Linked DNA regions of Arabidopsis thaliana. Each later gene encodes a partner of the first gene's protein in a complex. Each region holds a gene or a part of one and is shown in the gene's direction. Other genes may lie near its edges.

Region 1 (8,732 bases):
GTTGCGGTTTGAGAAGATGCTTGCTCACAGGGATTTTGTTCACGAACACCATATATTCGAAGATGTTGGGGACAAACGAAGACAAATCAGTAAAATTATGTTGCTAAAGGAGGAGAAAGAGTATCTCCTTCCAGGGACATATCAGAGAGACTCAACCAAACAAGAACCAAAAGGACAGCTTTTTAGGGAACTGTTTGAAGAAGAACTATATATATGGCTCATACATAAAGTGACTGAAGAGGGTAAAGGTCCAAACATATTGGATGAAGATGGACAGGGTATTTTACACTTTGTTGCAGCGCTTGGGTATGACTGGGCCATTAAACCGGTGTTAGCAGCAGGAGTTAACATTAACTTCCGTGATGCCAATGGCTGGTCTGCCCTTCATTGGGCTGCGTTTAGTGGCAGGTATGGACCTCTATCTCACATATCTTCAATTTCCTTTAATCATAATATTATTATTTGAGATTTTGCATTTCGTTTAAGATGCTCACATTGATGATGCTTTAACTCTATTATTTGGTCAACATTGCCATATCAAACTAACTCCTTTTCCTGTTAACTATAGGGAGGAAACTGTCGCTGTGCTTGTCTCTCTAGGTGCTGATGCTGGGGCATTAACGGATCCATCTCCAGAGCTTCCATTGGGTAAAACAGCAGCTGATTTGGCTTACGCAAATGGACACAGGGGAATTTCGGGATTTCTTGCAGAGTCTTCCTTAACTAGTTATCTTGAAAAGCTAACAGTGGACTCAAAGGAAAATAGCCCTGCCAACTCTTGTGGAGAAAAAGCTGTTCAAACAGTCTCTGAGCGAACCGCTGCTCCTATGACCTATGGCGATGTACCAGAGAAACTTTCCTTGAAGGATTCACTTACTGCTGTCCGTAATGCTACGCAAGCGGCTGATCGTCTCCATCAAGTATTCAGGATGCAATCATTCCAACGGAAACAGCTGTGTGATATTGGCGATGATGAAAAGATTGATATCTCCGACCAGTTAGCTGTTTCTTTTGCAGCTTCTAAAACTAAGAATCCAGGACAGGGTGATGTCTCTCTTAGTTGTGCTGCTACCCATATCCAGAAGAAATATCGTGGTTGGAAGAAGAGAAAAGAGTTTCTTTTAATCCGACAAAGAATCGTTAAAATTCAGGTTTGCCTTTCATTGAGTTTTTTTTTCTCCCCCTTATTTCTTTGCATAAGTCTTTTGTCTGGTTTCTCATTGCTGGAATCATATTACATTTACCTTTAGGCTCATGTGAGAGGACATCAGGTCCGGAAACAATACCGAACAGTCATCTGGTCTGTGGGATTACTCGAGAAAATCATTTTGCGTTGGAGACGCAAAGGTAATGGTTTGAGAGGGTTTAAACGCAATGCAGTCGCCAAAACCGTGGAACCGGAACCGCCTGTATCAGCTATATGTCCTAGGATCCCACAGGAAGATGAGTATGATTATCTTAAAGAGGGAAGAAAACAAACAGAGGAAAGGCTACAGAAGGCTCTGACTCGTGTTAAGTCGATGGTTCAATACCCAGAAGCACGGGATCAATACCGTAGACTCCTAACGGTTGTTGAGGGCTTCCGTGAAAATGAGGTACCCAAGACCCATAACATAATCAGTTAATCATATTTTGTTGAGCATTCTTGTGATAAATTGTTGTTGCAGGCTTCATCAAGTGCATCTATAAACAATAAAGAAGAAGAAGCAGTCAACTGTGAAGAAGACGATTTTATTGACATTGAGTCTCTTTTGAACGATGACACATTGATGATGTCTATTTCTCCTTGATTTTACTTTCTGACTCGTATTCATTTTTCCTTCTTTTACTTTCTAACTTTATTTCTTCTCTGTAAATACCATAGTTGATATTTACCGCTTAATTTATTACTTGGATTGAAATAGAATTATTCACTATTTTCTTTCGTCTTAACAATATATAACTTTTTTATTTGTTCATTTGGCTTTTCTCTGCTAATATTATATAGCCAAGTGTTGGATTACTCTGATTCATATTTGTATCCGTATTGAATATTCTTCTCTTTATTAGCTGTTTTCTGCAATTTATACATCATATTTGTTTTGGTCAAACTCATACATCAGTCATATTGTTATAGTTTAAATTTGAATGGTAGTATGATATTGAGCTAACTTTTAAAGGTTATAAATCCGGGTCGACATGCCATTTTATCTACCAAATTTGGATTGGTAAACCATTAAAGCTATAAAAAAAACTTAACTTGGATTTTCCTATAATCTGAAGATAAAATTGGATTGACGGGCAAGGCTACAGAAAATGGAAACTTAACAATAAATTATAGCAGTATATATTTTAATTTTTTCATTATTATATTGAGGTTTTTAGTGGCTTGACTAGCTTAAAATCTATTTTTCCACGAGTGGAAAAGTTCATTAAGAGAAGAAATGGCCAACAAAAGAAATTATAAACCTAAATCAATTTGTACAAGCTTATTAAAAAAAATTGAAACGAGTAATTCTAATAAATAAAGGAATTAAAATTAAAATTTCCATTTTTCTTAATTTAATTTTTTTTTTTAATTTCTTTATCGATTTCGTAAAGACAATTATTAATCAATCAAAAAGAGAAGATTCGCCTTGGGCAGACGGACTTGAGTTCACGGCTGGCCAAGTCATCACTCGTAATTAAAAGGGTTTAGACACAGTGCGCACGATAGCATCTGTGTTTGCTTCTTCCAAATCTCTCTCCTATTTTTCTTTCCCCTTTTCTCTCTTAAACCCTCCTAAAACCCTTGTCTCTCTCTCTCTCTCTCTCTCTTTCTCGTGAGATCGCGTTATGTCGAATACGCTTTCTTTGATTCAAAGCAATGCCTCGAATCCCAAAGTTTGGGTAGTGATCGGCGTGACGGTGGCCGGGATCGTGATTCTGGCGGAGACCCGGAAGCGGCGGATTAGAGCCCTTAGAGAAGAAGACTTTGGTGCTTTCTTAGATCGTTTCGAGCTTCTTCCTTTCCCTCCGCCTCCTCCTCCTGCTGCTAAACAATCTCTCTCTGGTCTTACCTTCTCCATCTCCGACGCGTATGTATCTCTCTCTCTCTCTCTCTCTCTCTCTCTCTTAAAAATCATAACCTATTTTCAAATTTGTTTTTTCCTGCTTTATATAATGATCTCGCTTATAAAGTTCAAAACTTTTGTTTGGTTTAATTGAGATTTTGACTTGCTTAGACGAAGTCATGTTGCAATGAAATGAATAAAGTTATATCGGGGTTAATGGTTTGACAGGTTCGATGTTAAGGATTATATCACAGGATTTGGTTGTCCACAATGGAAGAAGACTCATGAGGCTGCTGAGAAAACTGCTGTGGTTGTCACGACGCTCTTGAAAAATGGAGCTACTTGTGTTGGCAAGACTATAATGGATGAGCTGGGTTTTGGGTATCTCTCCACTCCTACCATTCTGCATATGAAATGACCTTTCGGTAGTTGGTTTGAAGAAAGTTTGTGTTTTGAATGTGATTTTACAGGATTATTGGAGAAAACAAGCACTATGGAACTCCTATTAATCCATTGATGCCAGATAATGTTCCTGGAGGATGTTCCAGTGGCTCAGCAGTTTCTGTTGGGGCTGAACTCGTTGACTTTTCACTTGGTATTGTTAATCTCTTCGTTTTCTCTTGGTAATGTGTTTCTTGGATTACGTTTGGTTCTTTATGCTAATCAAAAGATGCTTGATTTGCAGGGATTGATACCACTGGTGGTGTTAGAGTCCCAGCAGCCTTTTGTGGTATTCTTGGTTTTCGACCATCTCAGGGGACTGTTTCTTCAGTTGGAGTTTTGCCCAATTCTCAGAGCCTAGAGACTGTTGGTACGTTACATTCCCCTCCCTTTTAGTGTTTTTAGTGTAGTTTCAATGGTACATGCTACTCTAGGTGTTTGCCTTCCTGATTATTGAACTCATTGATTCGTTCTGTAGGATGGTTTGCCTCTGATCCATCCGTTTTGTGTCAAGTTGGACATGCCTTACTAAATCTGAGTGCAGTAACACATAGAAGGCAAAGATCTTTAATCTTTGCTGATGATTTATTCGAGCTCTCTGACATTCCTAAGCAAAAGTCGGTGCAAGTTGTCAGAAAGGCAATCGAGAATCTATCTGGCTGTAAGTTTGCAGCTGTATTGTTTCCTTCTCTTTGCCCTTCTCCAGATTCATATCTTATGTCTCTTGACCACTGGCTCATGCAGACAAGACTCCAAAACATGTTAACGTTGGCCAATATGTCGCTTCAAATGTACCAAGTCTTGCGGAATTCTGTGAGCAATCTGGGAAATCCCAAAATTCAGCATCAACTTTAAGGGCTCTTTCATCTGTGATGTTGGCTATACAAAGGTATTTAAGAAGCTCACACTTCTTGAAATTTTCACTGCATCAATACTTTTTTCTCTCTCTCGTTCCTTTTAAACGGGTGCAATAAAAGATTGTTGTTATTCCCTCTTTGCTGGAGGTTACTATTTTCTTCTTAAGTTGTATTATATGCAAATATCGAAGAAGAAAGGATTTTCTTTTTACCAGGCATGAGTTCAAAACAAATCATGAAGAATGGTGGCAAACATGCAAATCGTTTCTAGGGCCAAGATTTTCCAATGATGTTGTTACAGCTCTGAAGAGCAAAAACGAGAGCATTAAATCCCTCTACAGAGTGAAAAATGAGATGCGGGCCACCATTCAAAGCCTTTTAAAGGTAAACTCGATTTTTGGAAATTTAAAATTTTCACAGCCATTAGTGTCTTGAGGACATTTTGCCACCAAAACACTGAAGTCTGAAGAGATTGAATTATTAACTTTCATTTTTGCGGCTTCTTTTTAGTTCTATGGTATTATGATTAACCATAGATCGGTATCTTATTACTAGGAAGATGGAATTCTGGTAATCCCCACAGTTGCTGATCCCCCTCCAAGGCTTAACACAAAGAGAAATAAATCTTTGAATGAGTTTCTTGATCGTACTTATGCACTCTCCTGCATTGCAAGCATGTCTGGATGTTGTCAGGTATATTTCCATCTCCTCTTTCTCATTCAATGGTTGGGGAACATTCTTGTTGCCTTTTCCTTACTCTTCAGTCTTTAGTCATGACACAAATATATACATATTCTTCAGGTTACAATTCCTTTAGGGGAACATGGTGATCGTCCAATATCCGTGTCGCTTCTTACTTACTATGGAGGTGATAAGTTCCTTCTCGATACAACTCTCGATGTATATGCATCCCTTCAAGACCAAGCCAAACTTGCATCCAACTTAGCTCCAGTGTCTGACACCAATGGTAACATGGAGGCTTCTGAAGTTATGAAAGAAAAGGTAAAACTATCTCTTTGAGTTTGACAAATAGTATATTTGGTTCTGATCCATGATATGCTACTGGAGTTGGAATGTTCTCAAAGTTAACAGTGGATAAAATGTAATTCCAGGGCAATGCTGCATACAAGGGGAAACAATGGAATAAGGCGGTAAACTTTTATACAGAAGCTATAAAATTGAATGGAGCAAATGCTACTTATTATTGCAATAGAGCTGCAGCTTTCTTGGAACTTTGCTGGTAATTGTTCTCTTCATATCTTTCATTCTGATCTGAATATAATTTATTATGATTTTCTGATCTGAGAGTTTGTTTATAGCTTCCAACAAGCCGAACAAGATTGTACCAAGGCCATGTTGATCGATAAGAAGGTGAAAACTTGATTAGCTGCCTTATTTCTCCATCCCTCGTAGTTTGTTTTGTTACATTGTGTTTTTAACATGGTTTTGTGTTTAAGTACACTTGAGCTGGAACAAAACTATTCACTTTTTATTTATTTGATTTGCGGCGTAATACCTTTGTACTATGACTATCTAGTTTCATTATCACTCAGATCACTCACTATAGACACAATGACGCATTATTTGGAAGCTTTGATTCTTATAATAGTTATTTGTTTCTACAGAATGTGAAGGCATATTTGAGACGAGGGACTGCTAGAGAATCACTTGTACGGTACAAGGAAGCTGCTGCAGGTATGATGATTAAACTACTCTGAGATTGTAATTTTATCACATTGGAGAAACTTGTTAAAAGATAAAATTCATCTAGCTATCCAGATGAGTTACTCTCTCTAGTAGGGTATTGGAGCGTAACATTATGGTTGATCATCTCTGCAGATTTCAGGCACGCATTGGTCCTTGAACCACAGAACAAGACGGCAAAGGTTGCTGAGAAGAGACTCCGAAAACACATATGAGTTAAAAAGGATTATTACTCGATTTCTCTTGTTCACCAATCTATCTTTTCACTTATCTAAAACCCTAAAAAGGAAAGGTTTTGCTCCGGTTTCAACAGACTAATAATTTAGTGGTTTTGTGACATGTGTACAGATTGGGATGAAAACTTCTACCTCTAATTACTTGATCTGAAAAGTTTTATGGGGTCCTTTTAGCTTCTTTGTTTTCTTAACGGTCTTTTACGTAAATTACAATTTCCCCCAAGTCCAATACTGTAATTCCTTAAATTACACGGAGGGACCCATAAATGACACGTTTACAATCAATTTCTCGACAAATAACTGAATTCGTTGTTTGTTTTTTTCCTCTTCGTCATCGTCACGCCTCCGTATCTTCTCCTCTGTTTCATTTTTGAATTATTCGAATCAAAAATGTTTGATCATATGAAACTGCTGCGATGCTTCAGCTTCACGGCGTCGCGAGATTGGTTATTCCGGCAATCATTCGCAAACGCCGGTCTACGTTCCGTAACGACAGATCTCTCCCACGGCAATTCAATCGCATCAACAGCTATGCATTGTTGGATTCCTAAATCCCCGAATCGATCTAAACCTAATCTCCTCCTCCTCCACGGATTCGGCGCCAACGCAATGTGGCAATACGGAGAACATCTCCGAGCTTTCACCGGCCGATTCAACGTCTACGTTCCCGATCTCCTCTTCTTCGGGTTATCATCCACATCGGAACCAAACCGAACCGAATCTTTCCAGGCTCGGTGTCTGATGAGGTTAATGGAAGCGCACGGAGTCCAGAGGATGAACATCGTCGGGATTAGTTACGGTGGATTCGTTGGGTATAGTTTAGCGGCGCAGTTTCCGGAGAACGTTGAGAAGCTTGTGCTGTGCTGCGCAGGGGTTTGTTTGGAGGAGAAAGATATGGAGGACGGATTGTTTAAGGTGCCGAATCTAGAAGAAGCTACCGGAATTTTGATTCCTCAGACGCCGGAAAAGCTTAAGGAACTCATAAGATTCTCTTTCGTTAAACCAATCAAAGGTGTTCCTTCGTTTTTTCTCTGGGATTTTATCGATGTAAGTTTTTTCCTTTATAATAATGTCTTTGTTTGTTTGTTTGTTGATAAATGTTGGAGTTTTGAGAAATGTTGTTCAAAATGTTGAAAAGGTAATGTGTACGGAGTTTGTAGAGGAGAAGAGAGATTTGATCAAATCAATACTCAAAGATAGGAGACTTTCTGATCTTCCTAGGATCAAACAGGTACAAACCTTTATTCGGATTTTAATTTGCTTATGTAAATTTCGCAGTTCCTATAACATTGTGTGTATGTGTGTGTTTATTGGTTGAATTAGAAATCGTTGATCATATGGGGAGAAGAAGATCAAATATTTCCACTGGAACTAGGTTACAGATTAAAAAGGTAAACAACAACATGTATATTAACTATAGAGATTACCCTCTGTATTTTTTTATGTGTTTATAATAATTGTATGGTGAAACAGACATATAGGAGAGAGTGCAGAGATAGTGGTGATCAAGAAAGCAGGACATGCTGTGAATTTGGAGAAGTCCAAGGAATTTGTCAAGCATTTGAAATCTTTTCTCATTGACTCTTTGTGAATTACTTTTTCCTATAATATCAACCATTTTTATTTTTACACTATTCTTCAATATATAGGTGATCTTTCTTTCTTGTCTAAAAGCTTAAAACATCAACTGTCTATTAGGAAATTATGTTAGCTGTTAGATCACAAATACGATTATTTTATCCACGCCAGATAGAACTTGACAACTGCAGAGCCTGAGTTATACAATCTACAACAAAAATATCCAATAAGGCAATAACAATTAAAAGGCCTATTTTAGCTGGCCTTTGTTTTGATTGGTGGGCTTTGATAAAGGAAGTTAGAATATTGAAAACAAAAAAAAAAAATTGAGTTTAAATAAAATTATATACAGTTCTTTGCATGGTCCAATTTTATGTGGCTCCCCTATCGACTATCGTCTAAATTTGTTGTACAATGTGAAGGTCGAATTATATATATTGAGAAGATTCCAATAATATGGACTTCCGATACATGACAAGAGAACTGGGACCAATCTGTGTATATAAGAGAGATTGGTTTAGTCAACATGAGAAGTTGGTCGGTCGGTCGGTCGGTCGGTCGGCGGCAATACAAGGCTAACATATACACCTCACAATATTTTATTGATTAGTTAAGCCAAACTTATCCTTAACTTATAATGATTGAATCGTTAGGAATTTTATTTTGTTAAAAGAAGAGATGTATTTTACTAATTAATGTTGTGACTTACCTAATCTACTTAGTGGCACTTCTATTCTATACGAGCTGTGGATTATTGCCTTTTCTTATCAATTTTTGGCTCATCCGTTGGTGATATTATTATGTAACTAAGAAAATATATAGGGTTTAGTTGAAAGTGGTATATATTGGCTGCTTCTGCGGACTAATAATTATTGAAGCGTTTG
Region 2 (7,881 bases), about 20 Mb from region 1:
GGTTAATCTCCATTGTCTTCTTGCTCGACATGTAGCCACCCATGCTGCTGTCTCTCAAGGCTTGAGCTTTCATGATCCTCTCCATGTTTGCAGTCCAGCCATACTCGCCTGTTACAAGACAGCAGGGTGAGTCCACAACACGGTCAGAGACGATAACCTTCTCAACCTTGTCTCCCAAAACGTCCTTGATCACTTTGCAGAGTCCCTCAAACTTCTCCTTGAGCTCTTCTTTCTTCTTCTTCTCGTCTTCAGTCTCATCCAGTTTCAGACCTTCCTTGGTTGCAGAGACAAGCTTCTTTCCTTCGAATTCCTTGAGCTGACCAATAGCATACTCATCGATAGCGTCAACCATGTAGAGAACTTCAATACCCTTCTTCTTGAGCTTCTCAAGGAATGGAGAGTTCTCAACAGCCTTCTTGCTCTCACCAGTGATATAGAAGATATCGTTCTGACCTTCCTTCATCCTTGTCACGTAGTCCTTGAGACTGGTCAATTCATCACCGCTCTTGGTTGAGTGGTAACGGAGCAACTCAGCAATCTTGGTTCTGTTTTGGGAGTCCTCATGGATACCGAGCTTCAGGTTCTTAGAGAAAGCCTCATAGAACTTGTTGTAGTCCTCCTTGTTCTCAGCAATCTCAAAGAAGAGCTCAAGACACTTCTTCACAAGGTTCTTGCGGATGACCTTGAGGATCTTGTTCTGCTGCAATGTTTCTCTTGAGATGTTGAGAGGAAGATCTTCAGAGTCAACAATACCCTTGACAAACCCAAGGTACTCAGGAATGATGTCTTCACAGTTGTCCATGATGAAGACACGACGGACATAGAGCTTGATGTTGTTGGGCTTCTTCTTAGTGTCAAAGAGATCAAAAGGAGCTCTCTTGGGAACAAAGAGGATAGCTTTGAACTCAAGCTGTCCTTCAACTGAGAAATGCTTCACAGCCAAATGCTCTTCCCAGTCATTGCTCAAACTCTTGTAGAAAGCAGCGTACTCCTCCTTGTTGATCTCCTCTGGCTTCCTCATCCAAATCGGTTTCTGCTTGTTCACCAAATCCCACTCATGAGAAACCTCCTTAATCTTCTTCTTTTTCTTCTCCTCCTTTTCTTTCTCCTCATCAACTTCCTCAACCTTGCCTTCCTCATCCTTCTTCTCTTCCTCCTCTTCATCATCAGAGATCTCCTTCTCAATGGTCTTCTCAATCCAGAGAGAGATTGGGTAGCTGATGAACTCAGAGTGCTTCTTCACCAAATCCTTAAGCCTTCGCTCCTCAATGTACTCCATCTGGTCTTCCTTGAGGTAAAGGACCATCTTAGTTCCTCTACCAAGAGCCTCACCAGAGGTGTCTCTGGTGACGGTGAAAGATCCACCGGCCTGAGACTCCCACACGTACTGCTCATCGTCATTGTGCTTGGTAGTAACAACAACCTTGTCAGCAACCAAGTAAGCAGAGTAGAAACCAACACCAAACTGTCCAATCATGCTAACATCAGCTCCAGCAGCCAACGCCTCCATGAATTCTTTGGTTCCAGATCTTGCAATTGTTCCAAGGTTGTTCACCAGATCTGAAAAATAAAACAAAAACGTATTAGCCAACACACCAAACACATAAATAATCAACGAAAACCAATACAAATTGCTTTTGACTGAAATCAATTACGTACCAGCCTTGGTCATCCCAATACCACTATCGATAATCGTCAAGGTGTTGTTAGTCTTGTCGGGAATGATGTGAATGAAGAGCTCTGGCTGACCATCGAGCTTGCTCTTGTCTGTCAAGGACTCAAACCTAATCTTGTCCAAAGCCTGTTTTCACCAGAGTAAAATCACAATCGTAAGTAACCAACCAATACACAGAACGTATATACAAATTACATATAAGCAAACTTTGTAAATCTAACAAGAGTCTGCTTAATCGTTGGTATCAACACTAAAACTAATCAACAGATTTGAACACAAACAGCTTCGCAACTTCAATTACCAACCAAAATTCTAAAATCGGCTAGAACACTAAACCCTAATCAATCCTAAATCTACAGATCGAACAGCCAGATCAATCAAACGAGACAGACAAGTATAAAATAAGGTGTAGAGAGATAGAGATCGTACATCAGAAGAGTTACTGATGAGTTCACGAAGGAAGATCTCCTTGTTAGAGTAAAAGGTATTGATGATGAGGGAGAGCAACTGGTTGATCTCAGCTTGGAAAGCAAAGGTTTCTGCGTCCGCCATTCTCGTTGATCGGAAAAAAAATCTAAGAGCTAGGGTTTATGAATCAAATCGAGAGATAAAGAGAGCAAAATTTTCTTTAGAGAGCAGAGAAGTGTTGATTGATACGAGACTTTGGGGAAGGATGTTATTATATATAGTGGTGTGGGGACTGGGAACCTATAAGGGTTTCTAGATCCTTCCTATTTGATTTATGTTAATTTGCTTTTCAGGTCCACATAATCTGCAATATAATTAAATGGAAATTACAAAATACAAAACTATTTTTTGGTAGAAAAATACAAAACTTTATTAAATTTTTTAAAATTTTATTCCCTTTTATTTTATTTTGGAGAACAGGTGTAATTTACTACTTTTTGTAACAGGTTTTAGTTTACTTCTTTTTTTTTTTGGTTAAATTTTGTAATTTACTATTTTATTTTATTGGTTGATGATAATTTACTATTTATAAAAAACAGTCAGATTTAATTCTACTCCCTTTTTATTTTGCAGAACAGGTGTAATTTACTACTTTTTTGTAACAGGTTTTAGTTTCCTTTTTTGTTAATTTTGTAATTTACTATTTTATTTTATTGATGATAATTTACTATTTTAAAAACAAAGCAATAATTTTATTTTTTGCTTACAACTTTTTTTTTCCTGTTTACAGATTGGTATGTGTATCTTTTAATAAAGTTTCAAAAAAATCAATAATTAAATAATAATATTGAAAGTTGTAAAATAAATAAATTAAAACAATAACAAAAAGAAACACATATTCTCTAAAAAGCGTGGGGTTTGTGGGGAGAAAAAATTGATTTTTTTTTTTTAACTTCAGAATTGATTAAAACTTTTTTTTTTTTTTTAACACAACTATTTATCTTGTTGTTATAAATTAAATACATAACTAAAATTTGAAATAAAATTTTGAGATATCTTGAAACTAAGGGATTAACTTTATCGATTTCAAAAAATAACCCAAAACTAGGACCGATCTAAAAAAATCTAAACATAGATAAACTAGAATGAATGGGAACTTGTAAATTCAAATCCATAACAAAATCGAATTTTGTATATGGAGAAAAACATTGTTTTTATTGATTAGTTTAGCTAATAGAAAAATTTAACAAAAAAAAAAAAAAAAAAAGTAAGTAGCACTTGTTCCAAAAAAAAGGAAAGTAAAATATTATGACAATTTTTATATTTTACAATTTCCATTATATTATGACGTCTGTTTCCACATCCCCTATATATTACACACTTTTCCCCCTTAATCAAACCATCAATACTTCTCTGCTTCTCTTAAGAATTTGCTTTTTGATTCACATAAACCCTAATTCTTAGATTTTTTTCCCGATCAACGATAATGGCGGACGCAGAGACCTTTGCTTTCCAAGCTGAGATCAACCAGTTGCTTTCCCTCATCATCAATACCTTTTACTCCAACAAGGAGATCTTCCTCCGTGAACTCATCAGTAACTCCTCCGATGTACGATCTCTCCCTCTCTGTCTTTCTATGTTTATCTTTAAGCTTAATGTGTTTGTGTATCTCCTTCGATTGATTTGACGGATCTATGTGTAGATTTAGGTTTTATTAGGGTTTAGTGTTCTTTTCGATTTGAGATTTTCGTTTGTTAATTGATGGAACCTTTTCATGTTCAAATTTGTTAGATTACTTAGTTTTTGATTGTATATATGTTGTGTGTATTTTGTTACTTATGATTGAGCTTTTTATTCTGGTGAAACAGGCTTTGGACAAGATTAGGTTCGAGTCCTTGACGGATAAGAGCAAGCTCGATGGTCAGCCTGAGCTTTTCATTCATATCATTCCGGACAAGACTAACAACACCTTGACCATTATCGATAGTGGTATTGGGATGACCAAGGCTGGTACGTAATTGATTTCATTCAAAAGCAAGTTGTACTTGATTTCATTCAAAACCATTATCTATGTGTTTGATTTGTGTTTGCTGATTCGTGTTTGTTCTATTGTACAGATTTGGTGAACAACCTTGGAACAATTGCAAGGTCTGGTACCAAGGAGTTCATGGAGGCATTGGCTGCTGGAGCTGATGTTAGCATGATTGGTCAATTTGGTGTTGGTTTCTACTCTGCTTACTTGGTTGCTGACAAGGTTGTTGTTACTACCAAGCACAACGACGATGAGCAGTATGTGTGGGAGTCTCAGGCCGGTGGATCTTTCACGGTGACCAGAGACACCTCTGGTGAGGCTCTTGGTAGAGGAACAAAGATGATCCTTTACCTCAAGGAAGACCAGATGGAGTACATTGAGGAGCGAAGGCTTAAGGATTTGGTGAAGAAGCACTCTGAGTTCATCAGCTACCCAATCTCTCTCTGGATTGAGAAGACCATTGAGAAGGAGATCTCTGATGATGAAGAGGAGGAAGAGAAGAAGGATGAGGAAGGCAAGGTTGAGGAAATTGATGAGGAGAAAGAAAAGGAGGAGAAGAAAAAGAAGAAGATTAAGGAGGTTACTCATGAGTGGGATTTGGTGAACAAACAGAAGCCTATCTGGATGAGGAAGCCAGAGGAGATCAACAAGGAGGAGTACGCTGCTTTCTACAAGAGTTTGAGCAATGATTGGGAGGAGCATTTGGCTGTGAAGCATTTCTCTGTTGAAGGACAGCTTGAGTTCAAAGCTATCCTCTTTGTTCCCAAGAGAGCTCCTTTCGATCTCTTTGACACTAAGAAGAAGCCCAACAACATCAAGCTCTATGTCCGTCGTGTCTTCATCATGGACAACTGTGAAGACATCATCCCTGATTACCTTGGGTTTGTCAAGGGTATCGTTGACTCTGAAGATCTTCCTCTCAACATCTCAAGAGAAACATTGCAGCAGAACAAGATCCTCAAGGTCATCCGCAAGAACCTTGTGAAGAAGTGTCTTGAGCTCTTCTTTGAGATTGCCGAGAACAAGGAGGACTACAACAAGTTCTATGAGGCTTTCTCTAAAAACCTGAAGCTCGGCATCCACGAGGACTCCCAAAACAGAACCAAGATTGCTGAGTTGCTCCGTTACCACTCAACCAAGAGCGGTGATGAATTGACCAGTCTCAAGGACTACGTGACAAGGATGAAGGAAGGTCAGAACGAGATCTTCTACATCACCGGTGAGAGCAAAAAGGCCGTGGAGAACTCTCCCTTCCTAGAGAAGCTCAAGAAGAAGGGTTACGAAGTCCTCTACATGGTTGACGCTATTGATGAGTATGCTATTGGTCAGCTCAAGGAATTCGAGGGAAAGAAGCTTGTCTCTGCAACCAAGGAAGGTCTGAAGCTGGAAGAGACTGATGACGAGAAGAAGAAGAAAGAAGAGCTCAAGGAGAAGTTTGAGGGACTCTGCAAAGTGATTAAGGACGTTTTGGGAGACAAGGTCGAGAAGGTTATCGTCTCTGACCGTGTGGTGGACTCACCTTGCTGTCTAGTAACAGGCGAGTATGGCTGGACTGCAAACATGGAGAGGATCATGAAAGCTCAAGCTTTGAAGGATAGCAACACGGGTGGTTACATGTCAAGCAAGAAGACAATGGAAATTAACCCAGAGAACTCGATCATGGATGAGCTGAGAAAGAGAGCTGAAGCGGACAAGAACGATAAGTCTGTGAAGGATCTTGTGCTTCTTCTCTTTGAGACCGCTCTTCTCACCTCTGGTTTCAGCCTTGATGAGCCCAACACTTTTGGAAGCAGAATCCACAGGATGTTGAAGCTTGGATTGAGCATTGAAGAGGATGATGCCGTTGAAGCTGATGCTGAGATGCCTCCGCTTGAAGATGATGCTGATGCTGAAGGTAGCAAGATGGAGGAAGTCGACTAAATATTGCACAAAGTCGACTAATATTAGCGGTGTTAAGAGTTTTGGTTCTATCGTTTTACATATCTTTGAGAATTTTTTTCTGCTGTAGTTTCTTTCTTATCTTGAAGCTTTTTCTCTGAACTCGGTTTTATGAAAAAGATTTTTTTATGCGAAAGGAACTCTGTTTCTAGCAAATCCAAGCTGATTTTTTGTCAGGTCATATAACTTAGTTATGACCATATTTTGCTAACCAGAATTACGCTAATCATATCTCACACAAAACCGTTACATACAGTGGTCATATATTAATGTAAGTATATAACAATATTAGTGTTTATTTAACTAAAATAAATTTTATTGCTGATCTTTTTAAAAATTATTTTTGCTATTACATGTTTTTAATAAAAGAAAGCTAAGAAACATATCATTATTGCTATAAACCCCACTAATTATAGTTGTTTTGAAAATAATATAGTTATTTTTTTGTAAAAGATATACATGTAACTTCAGCATTTTCATCGTTTTCTATTTTTGAAACTAATCAAAAATAATAGTAAGAAAAAAACTTTTATGAAATATATATAACTTATTTTCTCAATATCTCTTTAGTATATTGATTAATTTATGCTTCTTAAGCCATATTATTTTTAATTTAAAGCCATATATAAAATAATTATAAGAAAATTGAAACAATAATTGGCAAAAAGATGCAAATTCCAGGTTAATTGAATCAGATGCAGATACAAAATTTGTAATTATAATGAAATCGTAAAAACATTAAATGAATTAAAGAGAAAAAAAATACGACGTAGGGTGCAAAGAGGAGATTTCATCTCAACGCATGGGGGTCATATTAGAGATTTGAAGCCAAATGATTTATCGAATAAACTTTAAAAAAGTTTTTTTATAAATGTCATGGGGGTCAGTTGACCCCCCTCCTATATAACTGCCTCCGCCCCTGGTTACATAATATAGAACAATTTCTTGGCACATGGACCTAAGATTGACACACATACAAATTATATTATACTGTACCATAGAAAATATACAATTATCTATATGTAACAAACAACTATATATAAGATGATTAAAATATATGTAATGATAGAATTCTATTATAATATAATGTTGTATACGTTTATCTATACACAGTTGATAAAATTTTCCAAAATAAACCATAAATTTAAAACTTTACAAATACTCATCTTACGTAATATATTAATATATGATAGCTTGAAATAGCCAAATTAACTATAACAAACAACTGTGATGGCATATTGCCGTGCAACAGACAAGTATTTACCTAGTTTACATGTTATTACATGATATTTTGTTGAAATTATTTTTGAATTTTAATAATTAAAATACTAATTTTTGTAGTTTTTTCTAATTTTTTTTAATTTTATATAGTTTAGAGTTATAATCTATTATTTTTCTTCCTTACAATAAACAAGAGAATTAATTGTTTTATTGTAGAGTTTCTACAAAGTTGTTTTAAATAGCATTTTTAGTTAATATTTATGTTGAAGACTATAAATTGTTTAAAACAATTATCATTAGTTCTCATTAATTATTTACATATGATTTATATTTAAATCGCTAAAAATATGATTATCATGTGTTTAATTCAACTTTAAAAGCACATTAACATCAATCAATCATTAATAGATCGAATGAGCTTGATGTTTTAGTTGGTCTTATAAATTAATTTCCCCGATAAACAAAAACAAATTCTCTCCGACCAGATAAAACATTACATGGTGATGCTTCAAACTAAAGTTAGCTTCATTACATCTAACAATTTCGACATTTCTGTGATCGAAGCTCGAAGTTAAATCAAACATAGTTTCTTTGGATTTTAGCTATC

Evidence for each region. Proteins that work in one complex are often made in the same cells at the same time.
Region 2: the proteins of TOC64-V (region 1) and Hsp81.4 are in contact, whole or in part, in a crystal structure (PDB 6HPG), measured with the Arabidopsis thaliana proteins. Residues at the interface, in NP_196504.2 of Arabidopsis thaliana: Lys492 (codon at 5,324), Asn496 (codon at 5,446), Tyr499 (codon at 5,455), Tyr511 (codon at 5,491), Thr523 (codon at 5,527), Asn527 (codon at 5,539), Ala530 (codon at 5,548), Glu534 (codon at 5,560), Val556 (codon at 5,959), Lys557 (codon at 5,962), Leu560 (codon at 5,971), Arg561 (codon at 5,974), Thr564 (codon at 5,983), Glu586 (codon at 6,193), Asn589 (codon at 6,202), Thr591 (codon at 6,208); in NP_200411.1 of Arabidopsis thaliana: Gly692 (codon at 6,009), Ser693 (codon at 6,012), Lys694 (codon at 6,015), Met695 (codon at 6,018), Glu696 (codon at 6,021), Glu697 (codon at 6,024), Val698 (codon at 6,027), Asp699 (codon at 6,030).

What each region holds. Positions count from the first base shown.
Region 1 is NC_003076.8:2,925,502-2,934,233, forward strand, and holds TOC64-V (translocon at the outer membrane of chloroplasts 64-V), read left to right. Parts: upstream 1-2,671; 5' UTR 2,672-2,814; coding exon 2,815-3,056; intron 3,057-3,260; coding exon 3,261-3,413; intron 3,414-3,502; coding exon 3,503-3,627; intron 3,628-3,717; coding exon 3,718-3,843; intron 3,844-3,951; coding exon 3,952-4,134; intron 4,135-4,217; coding exon 4,218-4,362; intron 4,363-4,545; coding exon 4,546-4,714; intron 4,715-4,885; coding exon 4,886-5,023; intron 5,024-5,131; coding exon 5,132-5,332; intron 5,333-5,442; coding exon 5,443-5,570; intron 5,571-5,649; coding exon 5,650-5,701; intron 5,702-5,955; coding exon 5,956-6,025; intron 6,026-6,169; coding exon 6,170-6,249; 3' UTR 6,250-6,520; downstream 6,521-8,732. Other genes in the region: EICBP.B (ethylene induced calmodulin binding protein), read left to right, coding at 1-408, 569-1,151, 1,251-1,595, 1,668-1,790; AT5G09430 (alpha/beta-Hydrolases superfamily protein), read left to right, coding at 6,661-7,317, 7,409-7,501, 7,594-7,661, 7,744-7,861. UniProt on the Arabidopsis thaliana protein: Chaperone receptor mediating Hsp90-dependent protein targeting to mitochondria.
Region 2 is NC_003076.8:22,675,756-22,683,636, reverse strand, and holds Hsp81.4 (HEAT SHOCK PROTEIN 81.4), read left to right. Parts: upstream 1-3,484; 5' UTR 3,485-3,569; coding exon 3,570-3,692; intron 3,693-3,951; coding exon 3,952-4,093; intron 4,094-4,200; coding exon 4,201-6,035; 3' UTR 6,036-6,299; downstream 6,300-7,881. Other genes in the region: HSP81-3 (heat shock protein 81-3), read right to left, coding at 1-1,560, 1,660-1,801, 2,105-2,227. UniProt on the Arabidopsis thaliana protein: Molecular chaperone which stabilizes unfolding protein intermediates and functions as a folding molecular chaperone that assists the non-covalent folding of proteins in an ATP-dependent manner.